Linked DNA regions of Notamacropus eugenii. The protein of the gene in region 1 purifies or fractionates together with the protein of each later gene. This does not show direct contact. Links are inferred from orthologs where the notes say so. Each region holds a gene or a part of one and is shown on either strand. Other genes may lie near its edges.

Region 1 (7,578 bases):
ATTTCAAAGTATGTTGCGCTAAAAAACTTTACAAAGCATGTGCCTGGGCTGAAGGAGCATTAGCAAAGGAAGAAGGGGTCTCTCAGGACTTGTCCTTTTAAATAAAAGATATCTTCTTTAATATCTTCTCTTTTCAGTAGCTTTGAAATTACTATCTGGAGCAAAAGGCAAACCTCACTGCGGGTGGAAAAACGAAAACTTCTTGGCGGTGTAAGGGGGAGGGGCAGCGAGGGAAAAGGGAATCCCAGTGATTCAATACAGAAGTGTAAGTTCTAGGCTAAGTGTAAGTATTACAACCAATTTCCAAAGAAATCGTTTTGCTTTCAGGTACAAATGAGTGGCAATTCCCCTACTGAACTCACCCAGCTGGAGCTGTTCGCAAGTCCGGTTAGGGTTCTCTCCAATCTTGCATCTGAAAACTGCACCGGGGTTGACCACTGAAGCGTTGGTTTGCCAGTTGGCGGTAGGGGCTCCCACCACAAGCCTAGCTCATGGAACACACACGCAGGCGCAAAAACAGAAATGGTAAAAGATCATCCCACACATTTTGCTAGGCAAAATCGGGGGTGGGGGTGGGGGTGGGAGAAGCACACAGCTCTACAACTCCGAACTTTTGACTCACGACTCAGGGTACAGCAACCCACTTTCTAGGCTCTTAATAGGCTCTCCTTAACGCTTGTTGATTGACTGGCTCCCCACCCTGCCCAGTGTACTCGCTTCTTAAGATGCCCAATGTGCTTACCTCCTACGGTACCCAAATTAAGCGAGGTTTCTACAGAACCACTCACTCCTCCCCCACCCCCGCCTCTGGGCGCTTCAACTTCAAGAAAAGTTTACTCCTAGCCAAATTCATCAGGGAACCGCCTGTCAACGGCCCTGGCACTGCAGGATGTCTGGCACTTCTGAGCGCTTTCCTCCTTTGAGAGAAAAAAGTTTGAAGCGGGGAGTCACTTCAAGGAGCGGGTTTTAAAGCCTCTCCGCAAATGGGAAACCCTGAGACATTTGCACTCACCATCTGTTGTCCCCATGGCCGTGCAAGACGACCGAATAGCCAAACAGGGTCCCTTTGGGTCCGTTAAAGAGCAGCGGGTTTTCCGTGTCCAAGTTGTAGGGATGGATCCTTGGAATCCGGTGGCAGAGAAGGATAATCACCGCCTTCCAGATGACCACTCCTGGGGGCCCAGCCTTTCCACTTTCTTTCCAAGCCATTCTCTCCCTGTCCGGGACATCCAACAAGCCGCACACAGCTCAGAAGTTGTGCTCGAATGAGCAGATAACAGCGCCCCAAGATACCGCGTGTCTCCCTACGGCTCCTCGCCACCAGGCACACAGACTGGCTGGCAGGGGTGAGGGGGGAGGCGGAGGAGGAGGAAGTTCACGGCGGGCGGAGCGTCCTCAACCGCCGTAGGTTACTTGGGCTTTTGGATTCCTCCCGCCCAGTTTCTGTATCGAGAAGTTTGGGGGCTCCCGCCTTGACTGGTTGACAGGACTGGGTGGGTCCAGGGGTGTGGTAGGGAGTTGGAGCGGTGTGAGGCCGCGAGTCCCCGCTAGTCCACGGGCCCAAGGCCAGACTGGCTGCAGAGGGCGCTAGGAGATCTCCGTAGGTCCAGATGTTCCACGCACCCAGCTGCTCTGCCTTCCTATCAGATGGGGATGCTTAGACTTAGATCTGGATCGCAGGGGGAACGAGAGAAGTTGAATCCCGGGGAGAGTTTTGTTTTTCTCCTTCTGCGAAGAACTTCTACTGCGTACAAAGCCTGCCCAGCTTTGCTGTTTCTAGAAACCCAAAGATTGGGATAGAAATTCCGCCTCTTCCAATGAATAATTCTCTAGAAATTCTTTTCTTCAGGAGTGAGCAGCAAGTCCAAAGGAAGGCGAACGGGGAAACGGAGAGGGAGGATTCACACAGGTACCAAAAAGCAAACAGCAACGTTTCTGAGAACAATGCTTGATGTTAAAAAAAATACCCACTATTTACCTTAATACACCCACTCCCATTTCCGTACCCCTCACTTACACTTCCCTCTTAGGCCAGTCAGTGGTGTTGGGGTGGTGGGGGGAACACTGAGTGGCAAATGCTGCCTATTGAAAACTTTAATCAAGAGTGGAGCTCTCTAGACAAGTTGTCAGGGTTGAACTTTCTAACTTCGCAAAGCTGAAAACAGAGTCCTGCCTAGGATTGCCTAGGCACATGTCTTTCTAAATATCATCCACCACTAAGTTATAGGAATCCAGTTTAAATACCCTGCTACTGGGCCTCCAAATAGACCTGACTTAACTTACTCTTGTCTTCAGAAGAACAGATTCTGTTCAGGAACAGGATTGTGAAATCTTCATCGGTCAATGAAGAACAGCTCCAGAAGTGATGAAAATTATATATTTGTCCACTTTCCACTTATTTGTCAGTTGCCATATCAATAAGATTTGAATGTGAAATCTTCACCAAAGCAGTGCAAAAGAAGACTTCCTCAATTTGTTTATTTGGTGGTATAAGTATAAATGATCAGGTTGAGTGAGTATAAATTGTCAAATTAAACAAACCTGCAAATTAGTTCTTTTTCTCTGAATGAAGATGAACTGATACAAATATGTGATCTCATAAATTTTTATTTGTTTTGAATAGTCCTGCCAGCCCCATATTGATTTAGAAAATCATAAATTAACATTATCTATACTTTATTGTAGTTTTTATTTATTTCATTAAACATTTCTCAATTACATTTAATCTAGTTTGGACTCTGGCTTGGGAAGCATGTTGACATCTTTGGTGTGGGAAATATGTAAGAAAATTTATCCTCCAATCTTTTCTGTTTTTGAATTAATCCAGGTGCCAATCCCATCTTTGTTCTTCAAGTAAAGCCATGATTTCCTAAAATTGCAGGACTTTTCAACATGAGGTCCTTCAGCTGAAGGCATCTGCAGTCCAGAGGTGCCAGATCTATTTTCACAGCCTGAAGTTTTATACATTCTGAGCCACTGTGTTGACCTCTGTATTTCTTGTTTTTCTCCCTTTTATAAAACCTCAGTGAAATAAAATCTACTTAACAAAACTCATCTTGCAGTATAGATAAGATGACATACGTTACTTAGGTTAGGATTTAGAAGGGTGGTTCCCTGCTTCCGACTTTCCCCAGAAAACAGATGGATTTAACTAGGTCCAGGTGATCTGCTGCCTTGTTATGTGAATAACTTTGCTACCCTGCTGACAGATGGGAGTAGGGCGTCTCCAAGGCCACCATCAAGATTTCGTAAGCACATTCTTTCCTTCTTCCTACATTAGCTCATGAAGTGGTACAGAGATTCCCCTCCTCCATCTAACCCTTTCTTCCCCAAATCAGGTTAGGTAGAAAAGGTAAATGGGAGAAGACATGAACAATTTATGAAACTGTGGGTTCACTTTCAGATATGACTTTTTAACATGCAAGCCATGCAAGAAATAGATGCTCTCCCTACCCACCCCACCTTTTCCCCTTCCTGGCTGAACTCTGACACCCTGATTCCCAATTCTTATGGAGGAAATCCAGAGCTATTGGCTGGGGCCCCACACCAGTTTTCAGGCTCTCTCTCTCTCTACTTCTCAAAGGTGGTAACATCTAGAAGTCACCCTGGAACAGACCACCCTAGTTACGTTTCCCCTACCTTGCCAGGCAGATAAGGTCCCTTAGATGAGCAGAAAGTCATCAATTACAATACTTCCTATAAGATAGAAGACAACCACAGAGTGGACAGAACACTTGACTTAGAGTCAGCAAAAGTCTTAGTTGGATCATGCCTCAGATACTTAATAACTGTTATGCTGGTCTAGCTATTTAATTTCTCTCAGTCTCAGTTCCCTCATCTGTAGAATGGATATAATAATACCCGCACCTATCTTACAGGATTGTTGTGAGGATCAAATGGGATAATAATGTAAAGCACTTTTCAAGACTTAAAATGCTACATAAATGCTGGTTGTTACTATTATTGCCATCAACCCTTCCACTATGTCCTCTGGAAATCTGTCAGGCCAATGCACTTTAAAGATTCCTAGGTCTTTACGTTGGCCACACAGCTGATATATGTTGTCTCACCCAATTAGAATGTGACTTTCTTGAGACAAGGGAGGGGCTGGCTTTTCTATTTGCATCTCCAGCACTTAGCACAGAGCTTGGCATATAATAAGCCCTTGAAAACTATTTTTCCTTCATTCACTCACCTAGGAACTGTCAGTGTGTATAACAGCAGAAGTTTTGCTAATAGAAGCACCAGGCCTGACGTAACCTTTCTAGCAATTTAGAAAATTAACTCAGTCTTTCCAATCTTAGAATATCATAAATTTAATGTGATCCCTACAAAGATCTGAGAATGGCTCCTTTTAGCCTTATTAATGGTAGCAAGATAGAAGCAGATCTGCTGAAGTCTTCCTTTAGAAAGATACCCAAGGAATGCATTTAGAAGCCATGACTGCCTCTCATAGCTTTTTAGGGGATGAGGATCTGGCTCTGGTACAATGAGATATTTGAGCTCTTTCCTAAGTAATTTCTCCTACACTTTGTGGTTTGGGAATTCCTTATTACTGCAGTCAGAGAGCTGAAAGAAGATTCATTAGCTACTAAACAGTGTCACTGTTCATTTCTGCGTATTGGTCTATATTTGTTAGGGTCACTCATCCTTTTGACAAATATTTGCTGTGATTGTTGCTGTGGATGGGTTAAAGAGACATGGACTGTACATTCCCTTGAGGAGTTTGTATTCAAATAAAAGATCATTAAGAGCATAGGAATTAGAGCTAGAAGGCAGCTCTGAGGTCATCTAGTCAGGCTCCTCAGGAGGAATGAGTGGAGAGAGCAGGGAAGACTGAAGAAATAGTTAGACAGGTAGAAAAAAAGGTGATACAGGGTGATGGAAGTCAAAAGAGGATTTTCAGAAAGGATGGAGTGGTCACATGCTAAAAAGAGTTCAAAGAGGGTGAGTAAGGAGTATTTTGAAGGACATTTGGGATCTATAAATATTTTCAGTGGGATGGAGAGTGGACAGTAAGTTTTTGAGAGGTGAAGAAGTCAGTGGATGTTCAAGAAGTGGAGATGATACGAATTGGCTAATAATTCAAGAAGACTGGTGGTGACTGTAGCTCAAGAGGTTAAGAGACTCAAAGAAAGTTTGTTTTGCATTATAGTATAAGGGATACCTAAGCAGTGATACAGAAGATGCACAAGAGAAAAGGGCTGAGTAAGGGACCACCATTCTAGAGAAGGAAAGATAAGACAGGGCAGGTTAAGAGCAACAGTAGAGAGTAGAGAGGTTGGTCTTGAAATGATCAGGTGCATGAGCACACACCCACACTCACACACACCCCTTTTCTTTTAAAACACAGGGGAAGGAGAAGATGGGCAAAGATACAAAGAAAAATTAAATTGGATAGAAGGGAGTAAGGATGAGATGTATTGAAACAAAGAGGAAATAAGCTGAAGGAGCTTAAACCTTGTGACCCCATCTTTTCAGTAAAATACCAGGCAAGATCAACTGCTAATAGAGGGAGTAATGAGAAATATTTGACAATTGATCCTCCTGGAAATCTTCTAATCACTCAAGAAGAAATGGATAAAAGGAGATACACACACATATACACACACAACACACATATATATGTATATACACATACACAAACATATACAGATTCATGTATGTATATGTATATATGCATATGTATCTATACAATATTATGTCATACAATAGGATATATGTCATGCAATGTGGTAAAGTGATTATATCCTCATGCTACAGCAATCTTATTTTGTTTCCTTCCCTCTTCCCTCTGACCTTGCCATCTGGACTCCCTGGAAGAGACAGGAACAAGCACTGACTAAGGAATACATGGAGTTGTGTAGATACCATCACTCCTGTTGGCCAGAAGCTATGGTACCTTGGAGAGGAAATGAACAGAAGCTAAGACATCTGGATAAGTTCACATCCCAAAGCCTAGATGAAAGTTATTGAAGGTGAAGAACTATGAGAGCAAGCTACTAAAGTCACCAAAAGCACTAACAGAAAAGACAGTGAAGAGGAAGTCTGTGAACCATGGTTATGTAAAAGAACCAGGCTCTCATACCCAAGGAGATGCTTTTGTTTTAATTTTCTTTTCAGATAATTTTGCATTTCGTAAGTCAGGTGTAAATACTAAACTTAATTCTTTCATTCAACAAATATCAATATTCAAATGTGTATATATTTACATGAAATAACATTCAAAGCAGAGTCCCTGGTGACTTCTGATGGCCAAGGCTCTGTGACTTTTGCAAAGAACATTCTGGGGTTGGGGAGAAGGGAAGGAAGAAGGAGGGGCTCAGGCAGAATATTCTCAGAGACTTCCTCATCCCCATTTGCAGAAGTCCCTGATTCTGGAGAAGAGACAAAAGGAGCTCAGCTAGACTCACACATTCAGAAGATGCAAAGGACAAAGGCATTATAACTCCCCTCATACCATTCACAGGAGTGCAGAAATATCATAATTAAAGCATATATACCTGGGTGGGTAGGTGGGATGGGAGGTGAGAGCGGCAATGATTGGTATCTAGCCAAGCTAGTGAATCTAATCTGGAGTTTCCTTTATTGCATTCTCAAACCCAAAAGCTATTCAACACACAGAAATCAGGACAGGTTTTCCCATAATAAATTAGAGCCTTCCCTCTCTCTGACCTTGGGCAGGTTTTTCATCTCTTCAGATCTCAGTTTCTCTTTCTATTAAGTGAAGGGGTTGGACAGAATGACTTCTATGGCCCCTTCCAATTCTGACATTCAGTTATATTCAGTTTCCCTTAAGTACCCAAGCTACACCCATCCGAAGTAAAAAATGGTGAGGTAATCATTTCATTGGGTGTGAGCCCTAATTTCAGTAGCTATACATTAGTGAAAGATTCTCAGAGTAAGTCTTCTCCCTTCCCCAACTATAGTCTTTGGTTTTGTCTCTATTTTCAAACTCTGCTTTTCTCTCTTCACTAACATGCAGAGACACAACCCTTACCCTCAAGACGTTTATAATCCTAGTAGAGGGGAAAAAAAGACATTTTAATATGTTTTCATAAAAACGATAATGTCAATGTGTAACCTTTGGGACATACATAATAGAGATATCAGTAAGGTGATGTTAGAGGATTGTTTCAAGGAAGAAGATTCTTACCAGCTCCATGCAACAGGGGACACTACATCCAGGAGGTGGTATTTGAATTCAGCTTTGAAAGACTAGTGGCTTCTCAAGATGGGCCTAGATGAAAAAAACTGCAGTACCTGTTTAGATGACACTGAGTTCAGGAAGAACAATTAGAAAGCTATCTTGGAAGAACAATTGGAAGCTATCCAGAAAAAGAACTGATAAATGGAGGTACATATAATAAATAAACAGAAGTATGTATAAAATAACTAAATATAATATATATGCGAATATATGTGTGTGTGTATGTCTATGCATGTATAGACATACACACACACACCTACTTGTGTCTAATGGTAGCCATCTCTAGGGTGGGGCAGGGGAGAGGGAAGAAGAAAAGGAAAAATCTACATGATAACTTTTTTATATATTTAAAAGGAATAGCAAATTCT
Region 2 (7,873 bases), on another chromosome or scaffold:
ACATGGAGCAGTAGATTCAGTTGCCTCTGTAAAATAATCTACCATTCTAGGAACACAGAAATGGAACTACTTTTTTGATTCAGCATTGGTAATTTTTAAGGACCAAGATTAACTATAAGGGAAGGGAATGAAGAAATCTACCTGATTATTAAAATGATTATTCATAGTTGTTAATTCTCATGTTATTTCTAATGTACTAAACTTTTTAAGGGAAAATATGGCAAGGGAAATCCAAAGGGTCTATTCTGAAAAAAAACAACTCTTGTTTTCATCTTTGTAAAGTACTAATATTTCTATAGAAACAAGCCTGGTGATTGTTTTTTATAAGTCAAACAAATGTATTCTACATTTCTAAGTGAAATTAAAATTATTTTTTGCTTTTCTATCTACCACTTTACTTTCCAACAGAACCAAACATTTCTATATGTTTAAATCTTACAAAAATCAGCTTAATTAGGATCCTAAAAAATGTCCTAAGAGCACAGTAAAAAATGTTTTTATAACAATCATACTTGTCAACTTGACACTTTAAACACACACTTAAGTGTTCTTTTAAAATTATTTAAGTGGCCAAAATTTTGAAGACTTAAGAAGCTGAGCTAGGAACCAGGAGACCTATCTCTTCCATAAACTAGCTATGTGACTTTGGGCAACTCATTTAACTTCTCTGGCTCTCAACTTCTTCCTTTTATAAAATAAGCCTGGATTGCCTGATCTTTAAGATACCTTCCAGTTTTGTGTTCTTACATTTTGTGCACATCCTATCTCATTTTACCCTTCATTTCCCAGTAGATGACAAACTTCTTAAAGCTGAGGACTGCCTTGAGCATTCCCAGTGCCTACAAGTGTCAGGGTTAATACTTCCTGTTTCTGTGGAATATAATTAAATATTGCAGAGACCAGGTCACACTGAAAATCCCTTAGAAATATATCACTTTGTCTTGGAACACAAAAGACACTAACAATCCCAGTAATTCCCTCCCACTCAAAAATCAGTTTGCAAAATGAAGCATTACATTTTATACAGTATCTACATTTTACTCAGGAAAACTTCACTATTTATGCTAGAATTACTTTAATATTAAAAGAAACTGATACACTAAAAGTTCCTAAGCATGATTAGGAAGTCAAAAAAAAAGGTGCCAAATTTTGTGACTTTTTAGTGTCCAATTCTGAGTGTGATACAATGACAATAAATGAATAGACTACACACTGAGAATACAATAAGCAGTTTCCAATTTTAATGAATTTATAATCTATCTGGGGGGATGAGATAAAAGTTGTATACAAATAAGATCATAGTATACCATAAAGCTAAAAGGAACTTTAGAGATCAGATAGTCCAATTTAATTTTATAGATGAAGCAATTGTGGCCCAAGTAACACAACCAGTCTGTAGCAGAGGTACGTTTCCCTACTCCCAAACAACACAGAACATATAGCCCTAGGGCTGGGCCAGCCTTGTCCTCAGGAAGACCTGCTGTTCAAGCCCAGCAATTGCAGGCAGGCCACTTAACAGGCCCACAGAACACTTCAGATGGTAAGTTCAGAGAAGCTGCTGATCTGCTTCAATAGAGGGTGTCCCCACGCTGATGAAGTTACAGCCCAGAACCAAAACAAAACTGAGCACTGTGAAAACCCTGAGTATAGCGATCTATTATTGGGACAAAGGTATGCATTTAAATATTCACTGTCTGTAGTTCAGCAAAGTTTGTGTTCTTACGCATAAAAACCTAAGGAATTTGGGGAAAATATCCAAAGTTCTCGGTTATATTCATGTTCCTTACCTACCAACTTTTTACGCTTCAGGTTTCGTCCCGTACCCATTACATCCATGCCCACACACACTTAGGGGCCATGGTAAAAAAAAAAAAAAAATTAAAAATACAGCACCGGGAATCTTAAGGGGGAATACAACGCCACCTCAACACTGGTATTTTCTAGGCTGAAGGACTTTTTAAATCATAAAAGTAAGAGACAATGGAAAATACAGAAAGAAGGTCTAGGGCTACTTCAACTCCAAAGTCAAGTTCACGTCCATACCCAGCGCGCACAAAGTCCACGGGGCGCCGGCCTCTCCTAAGCCTGGCCCCAAGTCCCAGGGGTGACCACAGAACATCTCCAGAAGTGACAGGCCGCAATGCCACCCAATGCCACCCAACCCCGGCCGGCCTGGAGAGCCAGCTGGGCACAAGTCCGTCCGTGCGTCCGTCCACTCGGGGCCACTGGCAGAGCGGCTCCAAGCCCCAGGAGGGCTCTGGTCCAAGGGGAGCAGAAGGGGAGGAAGAGGAAGAAGAAAGGGCAGGGAGGTGATGGGGCGCTCGGGGAGAAAGAGGGGCGGGTGGGAGAGGGGAAAAGACACGGGCAAGGGGGAGAAACAGAGGGAAAGAGAGATAGAGGGGAAAGAGAGAGGGAAAGAGGGATAAAGTGGGGGAGAAGTGAAGGGAAAGAGGGATAAAGAGGGGGAGAAGTGAAGGGAAAGAGGGATAAAGAGGGGGAGAAGTGAAGGCAAAGAGGGAGCTCAAGGGAGGGCTCGAGGAGAAAAGGTTGCAAGGATGGAAGGCGGAGGAAGGGCCGGCAGCAAAGTGGGGGAGGGCCGCGGCCGGAGCGGGGGAGGGGAGCGCGGGCGGAGGCCGAGTCGGAGGCGCCGAGGGCAGGACGAGCCGGACCCGGCGTACCCCCGGCTCTCCTCCCGGCCCCGAGGCAAGAATTCCTTGCCTTAAGCGGAGGCGGCCCGGCGGCCCCACCCCCACGGCGGACGCCCGCTCCCTCCCGACACAAAGAGCGGGGCCGGGCCGGGGCTGCCTCTCCCTGGGTCCGGTGCGGGCCGCCACGCGCGCCCCGAGCCCCGCCGCCCCCCGCCACGGGCTTCCGCTCACCTCGCCGCCGTCCGCGCGGGGCTCTGTGGGGCGCGCACGCTCGGGCGGCGGGCCGCGTGCTCTGGGCCCGGCCTGGCTCTGTCGCTGCCGCGGCCGCTCCGAGATACTTTCCCGGCTCTCCCGGAGGGCGGGCAGGCGGTGGCAGCGGCTCGGGCTCCGGCTCCAGCTCCTCCTCCGGGGTGGGAGGAGGGGCGAGTCACTCCCTCGGCCTCCTCCCCTTCAGGAAGGTGGCGCGGGGCCCCGCCCCCCGGCCACCGCCCTCCTTCTCCAGCTAGCCAATCCGCATTGTCCTCCCGCCTCTCTCCTGTCCCCTTTCCCGTCGCTGCCTCCTCCGCTCCCCCCTCCCCACGCGGACCCAGCCCCGCATTCCCTCCGGAAACGCATTCCTCCCGGGCCGCGTCAGCCGCTCCGCCGGCGGCTGAGGGAGAGGACGAGGAGGAGTCGACGGGGGAGGGCGGACCGAGGAAGTGGCGGGAGGGCCTGCGGGGAGCGGCCCGCGGCCTCGGGCCCCCAGCCTCAGTTTCCCTGTCTGTCAAAGTCGGCCAGGCTCCCGTCGCGAGAGGGGCTCCGGCGGGTGCCCAACGCCCGCCCTTCCCAGCCCGGGCCGGCGGCGCCCCCTCCGGCCCAGGCGGGCCCCAGGCCCAGGCCGAGCCTCCCTCGCCTCCGGGTCACCGTCTGGATTGGGAGATAGCCGGGCCGAGGGTCTGGAGCTAAAGACTGGAGAGGAAAATAAAGGCTGTGGTCTGGGCTAGACCGAGACCCCTCCGGGCCCCTCCGCAGCCAGAGTGGGGAAACTGAGGCCGGAGGCCGCCGCCGCCCCCAGCCCCCTCCCAGGCCAGCCTGGACTGAGCTGCTTTCGTGCCGTATCGCCCCTCCGCCCTCCCGTCGGAATGGACACTTCTGGGAGCAGCCACTGCTTCCCTTCTTTGCGCCACGGAAGCCCTAATAAATACTTGTTGATTGATTGGCCCCCCGGAAAGAGGAGGTTTGGATCCCTGTCACTCCGGTCCAATTTTCCCCTCCCAGGTCGAAGAAATATTTTAAAACAGGTTTATTAAAAAAAAAAAAAAAAAAAGGAGAAGAAATAGTACTCATTGTGAGAGTTTTTGCATAGGCAGGGTGCTTTTTAGATAAAAGGACTCGAAACTGAATACCCAGGTCATACAGAAACCCAGTTAGTTACTCAAAGCCTACTGCCTGGGCACCATACCATCTTGTGGCACTGAAAATTTGGCTGTTTGGAAAGTTGTGGCTTTGGGCGAAGGGCATCCTGAACTGTAGACTTGAAGCTTAAAGATCTTATTTCTGATGGAAAGAGGAGGGCAGGAATACGCTTGGCAACCCAGTTTGAACCAAACCTATAAGGAAATATAGCTGTATTTGCTTAGATGCATCAAAAGATGAAAATTTTACTTAACACTGGTAGAGTGAAATCTACTTCTTTGCCCTCATGAGGTGAGAATTACTTTTTCTACTTGAAATTAGCATTGGTAAAATGGATGTAGCTCTACACCTGGCATTAGAAAAGATATAGGTTAAAACCTTAGGTCTAATAAGTACCAATGGTGCAAATTCATTTGATCTTTCCAAGCAGCAGTTTTTTCCCCCATAAAAATGGAGAGACTTCTCTTGAGGAACAATGAGATAATGTGTTACAAAGTGGTTTGCAAGCCTTAACTTTATAAATGTCAGTTATTATTAGAAGAGAATAAATGGCATTTGAAAATATATGTCCTACTGGTAAAGCCACAGAGAACATAGATCCTTGGATTTGAAGAGGATTGTATCGTTACACAAAATTAGCAACACCTGTAACAGCAGAGGAAAACCTTATGGTTTATTCAATTATCAAACTGGAATTAAACCTTTTAGCTTGGCGTGTTAAAAAAACAAACTTGTATTCTTGCTCAGCTGACATGTGATATTCAACTACAGTGTTTGATTTAATTGGTGTTCAATTAAAAATTGGAAACTATGTACTTATGTTCAGCCTCAGGTTAGTTATTGTTGCTATTTGACAATTTGATTTAAATTTCTCTGTAACTGTTTCTTGAATGTCAGGTGACGTTTCAGAACCTAAAAGATTTTCATCTTTCAGAGTTGAGTAAAATATCACTTAATGTTGGCAAAACAATTATCTAGTGCTATACATATATATATACATATATGTAATATATGTATGTATGTATATATATTGTGTTCAACTGGATGTTACAATTGATCTATTAACAGCATGTTACTAAATATGGTGCCCCTTCAACTACTTACGTACTTTTGATTCAAGTAACCATTTTTAGTGCCTACTATGTATAACGTCGAGGACCAAAAGACAAATATGTGAAAGTCCTTGGCTTAAAGGGACTGCTGTGGAGATACAACATGTACATAAATAGTCTAGGACAAAGAAAACCATGGAGGAAAACTGTAACAACCTAAGGCAATCAGACAATCAATAATGAAGGGGGAGGTGGCGCCTTAGCTGAGCTGTGGAGGAAAGAAGACCGATTCTGAGAAGGGAAACTGAGAAATGTACAGACCAGATATGGAGAAGAACATGGTAAGAATGAATAATGTACCAGAAAGTTGGAGAATTCAAGGAACAGAAACTTCTTGAAGGGGAGTAGTATGAAGCTGTAATGTTAATTAGAGAGCTAAAGATCTTCCCCAGCGATTGATGGGCCTGCCCATTAAGGAAAGCTTGATTAGGGGAGGCCCACCCCTTTTGTTACTTTCTATTGAGGCACTGGGTTAGAAGGTGCTGTCCTCTGGCTCTGAAAAATGTATAAATACTTTGAGGAGAGGTTTTGTTTTGGGGCTTACTCATTGAAAGTGTTTGGCCAGACAAGACTCTGGGCAGCCTCTAAGGAGCCCCCCGGCTTTGAAAACCCAGATGCTGGTGCTTCTCTGTCTAGTAACTAAGTATGTATGGTCAGACAGTTGGATCTCTCTGTTGATCTGTGTTGTATGTATTGCTTACAGTCTGTCAGTTGGAAGCCCTGCCTGCTGATTATTATTTCTTTGTATTTTCTCTGAAGGTCAGAGAGCTGACTTTTCCCCCTGAACTAAGTGAATGATTCATGTGCTTGATTAAAGTGATTGTTGTCCCCTCAAAAGTTGCTTTGCTTTTAGAAAAGCAGGTCTAAGAACTTATACAGCAGATCCTCCTGTGTATGCCAGGGTCCTTGCTGTTACAGAAGCAAAGCTAGAAAAGTTGGTGGAAATCAGATTGTGGAGGGTCTTAAATGCCAAACTAAGGAATTTATATTTTCTTCTAAGGCAATGAGGAGCTACTAGAGATTTTTGAGCGGCATGGTCAGTTGTATTTTAAGATCATTTTAGCAGCTATGTTTAGGATGGATTGAAGGAAGAGACACTAGAATCCTGGAGACCAGTTAGGAGGATATTGCAGTAGTCCAGTGAAGAGGTAATGAGGTTCCAGATTAGAATAGTGAGTCTGTAGGTGGAGAGAAGGGTACCGACAGAAGAGATTTTGTGTAGCTAGAAGCAATAGGCACTTGTTAAATTCTAGGCACTCTGAATACAAAGACAAAGAAGAAACGGTCCTTGTTATCTGACAAAAAAGAGTTTCCCTTCTGTAGGGTGGGAGACTATGTAGACAGATAAGCATATACAAAGTAATTTTGGAGGGAAGAGCACCCACTAGAGCAGGGAGCAGGAAGACAGGATCAGGAAAGGCCTCAGAGGGGGGAGCGCTTCATCAGAACTTTGAAGGGAGTTCAGGTCTTTAACAGGAAGAAATATAGTACAACTTTGTATAAAGGCAAGGCTACAGGGTGCAGCTGATTTGGCAATAGACTGAATATGAAGGAGATGGAAGGATCAAAGAAGGTTATGTGGTTAGAATTTGGGTGACTGAGAGTATGTTTCCTCAACAGAAAGAAGGAAGTTTGGAGGGGTAATAGGTTTGGGAAGGAGTGAAATATATTCTACTTCGGACCTGTTGATTCTGAGATAAATACAGGACATCCAAGAGAAGATATCTAGCAGGAAGTTCAGGGGAGAGATTAAGACTGGATATTTATACTCGGTAGTTATTTGCGTCCTTGAAAACTGTTGAGATCTCTAAGAGAATTTATATTTGCTTTTCTATGCAAATATTGGTTTGTGTGAGTAGATGTCTTTATTTACTGAAACCCAGACAGGCATGTATATGTATGCTGCTGTGCTTCATACAATAATTCTGCTGCCCCGTGGTCAGTAGTTCATACCCTTTATGCATTTTTTGTCCAGAAATGGTGGATGGATTTTAACTCGGGTTCTCCAATGCATTCGCAAGATATTTGATGAGGAATGCTGAGTATGGTGTTAGAACTGTAAGATACTAATACATAATCTGATTGATGCTTACAATAGCACTGTGGAGTAGGTAGTACAAATATTATTATACCCGCTTTATAAAGGACAAACTGAAGTTATTAAAGGTTAAGTGATTTGCTCAAAGTTACATGGCTATCATGTGGCAGACAAGGCTGGAACACCAAGTCTTTTTTTTAATCATTAAATTTTATTTTCAGGAAGATCTATCTTTTCTCCCACCTTTCTCCTCACTCCTGATTAAAAAGGCAGCAAAAAACAAACAAACAAAAAAGCCCCAAACCTCCTCTTACAAACTTGTACAGTCAAGCAAAACAAATTCTCTCCTTGGCCATGTCCCCCCAAAATAGGTCTCAGTCTGTGCCGAGTCCTCTCTATCAGGAGGCAAGTAGCGTATTTCATCATGATTGCTCTGGAACTGTGATTAGTTATTGTTTTGATCAGGGTTCCTAAATTTTTCAGAGTTGTTTGTCTATACAGTATTATTGTTTTTATATAAATAGTTCTCCTGGGTTCTTCTCATTTCACTCTGAATCAATTCATGCAAGTCTTCCCAAATTTCTTTGAAATCATTCCCTTCATAATTTCTTATAGTACAATAGGTTTCTAGCACAATTATATACTATAATTTGTTTGGCCATTCTCCAATTGATGGGCAT

Evidence for each region. The genes of interacting proteins can lie anywhere in the genome.
Region 2: the proteins of ITGA4 (region 1) and ITGB1 purify together in Homo sapiens (co-immunoprecipitation; 4 studies listed by BioGRID and IntAct, with this or other methods). This does not show direct contact. The link is inferred for Notamacropus eugenii from reciprocal best matches to the Homo sapiens genes ITGA4 and ITGB1.

Annotation. Positions count from the first base shown.
Region 1 is NC_092876.1:245,621,373-245,628,950, reverse strand, and holds the start of ITGA4 (integrin alpha-4), read right to left. Parts: upstream 3,045-7,578; 5' UTR 1,210-3,044; coding exon 1,013-1,209; intron 485-1,012; coding exon 363-484; intron 1-362. UniProt on the Homo sapiens protein: Integrins alpha-4/beta-1 (VLA-4) and alpha-4/beta-7 are receptors for fibronectin. They recognize one or more domains within the alternatively spliced CS-1 and CS-5 regions of fibronectin. They are also receptors for VCAM1.
Region 2 is NC_092874.1:72,860,946-72,868,818, forward strand, and holds the start of ITGB1 (integrin beta-1), read right to left. Parts: upstream 3,088-7,873; 5' UTR 2,880-3,087; intron 1-2,879.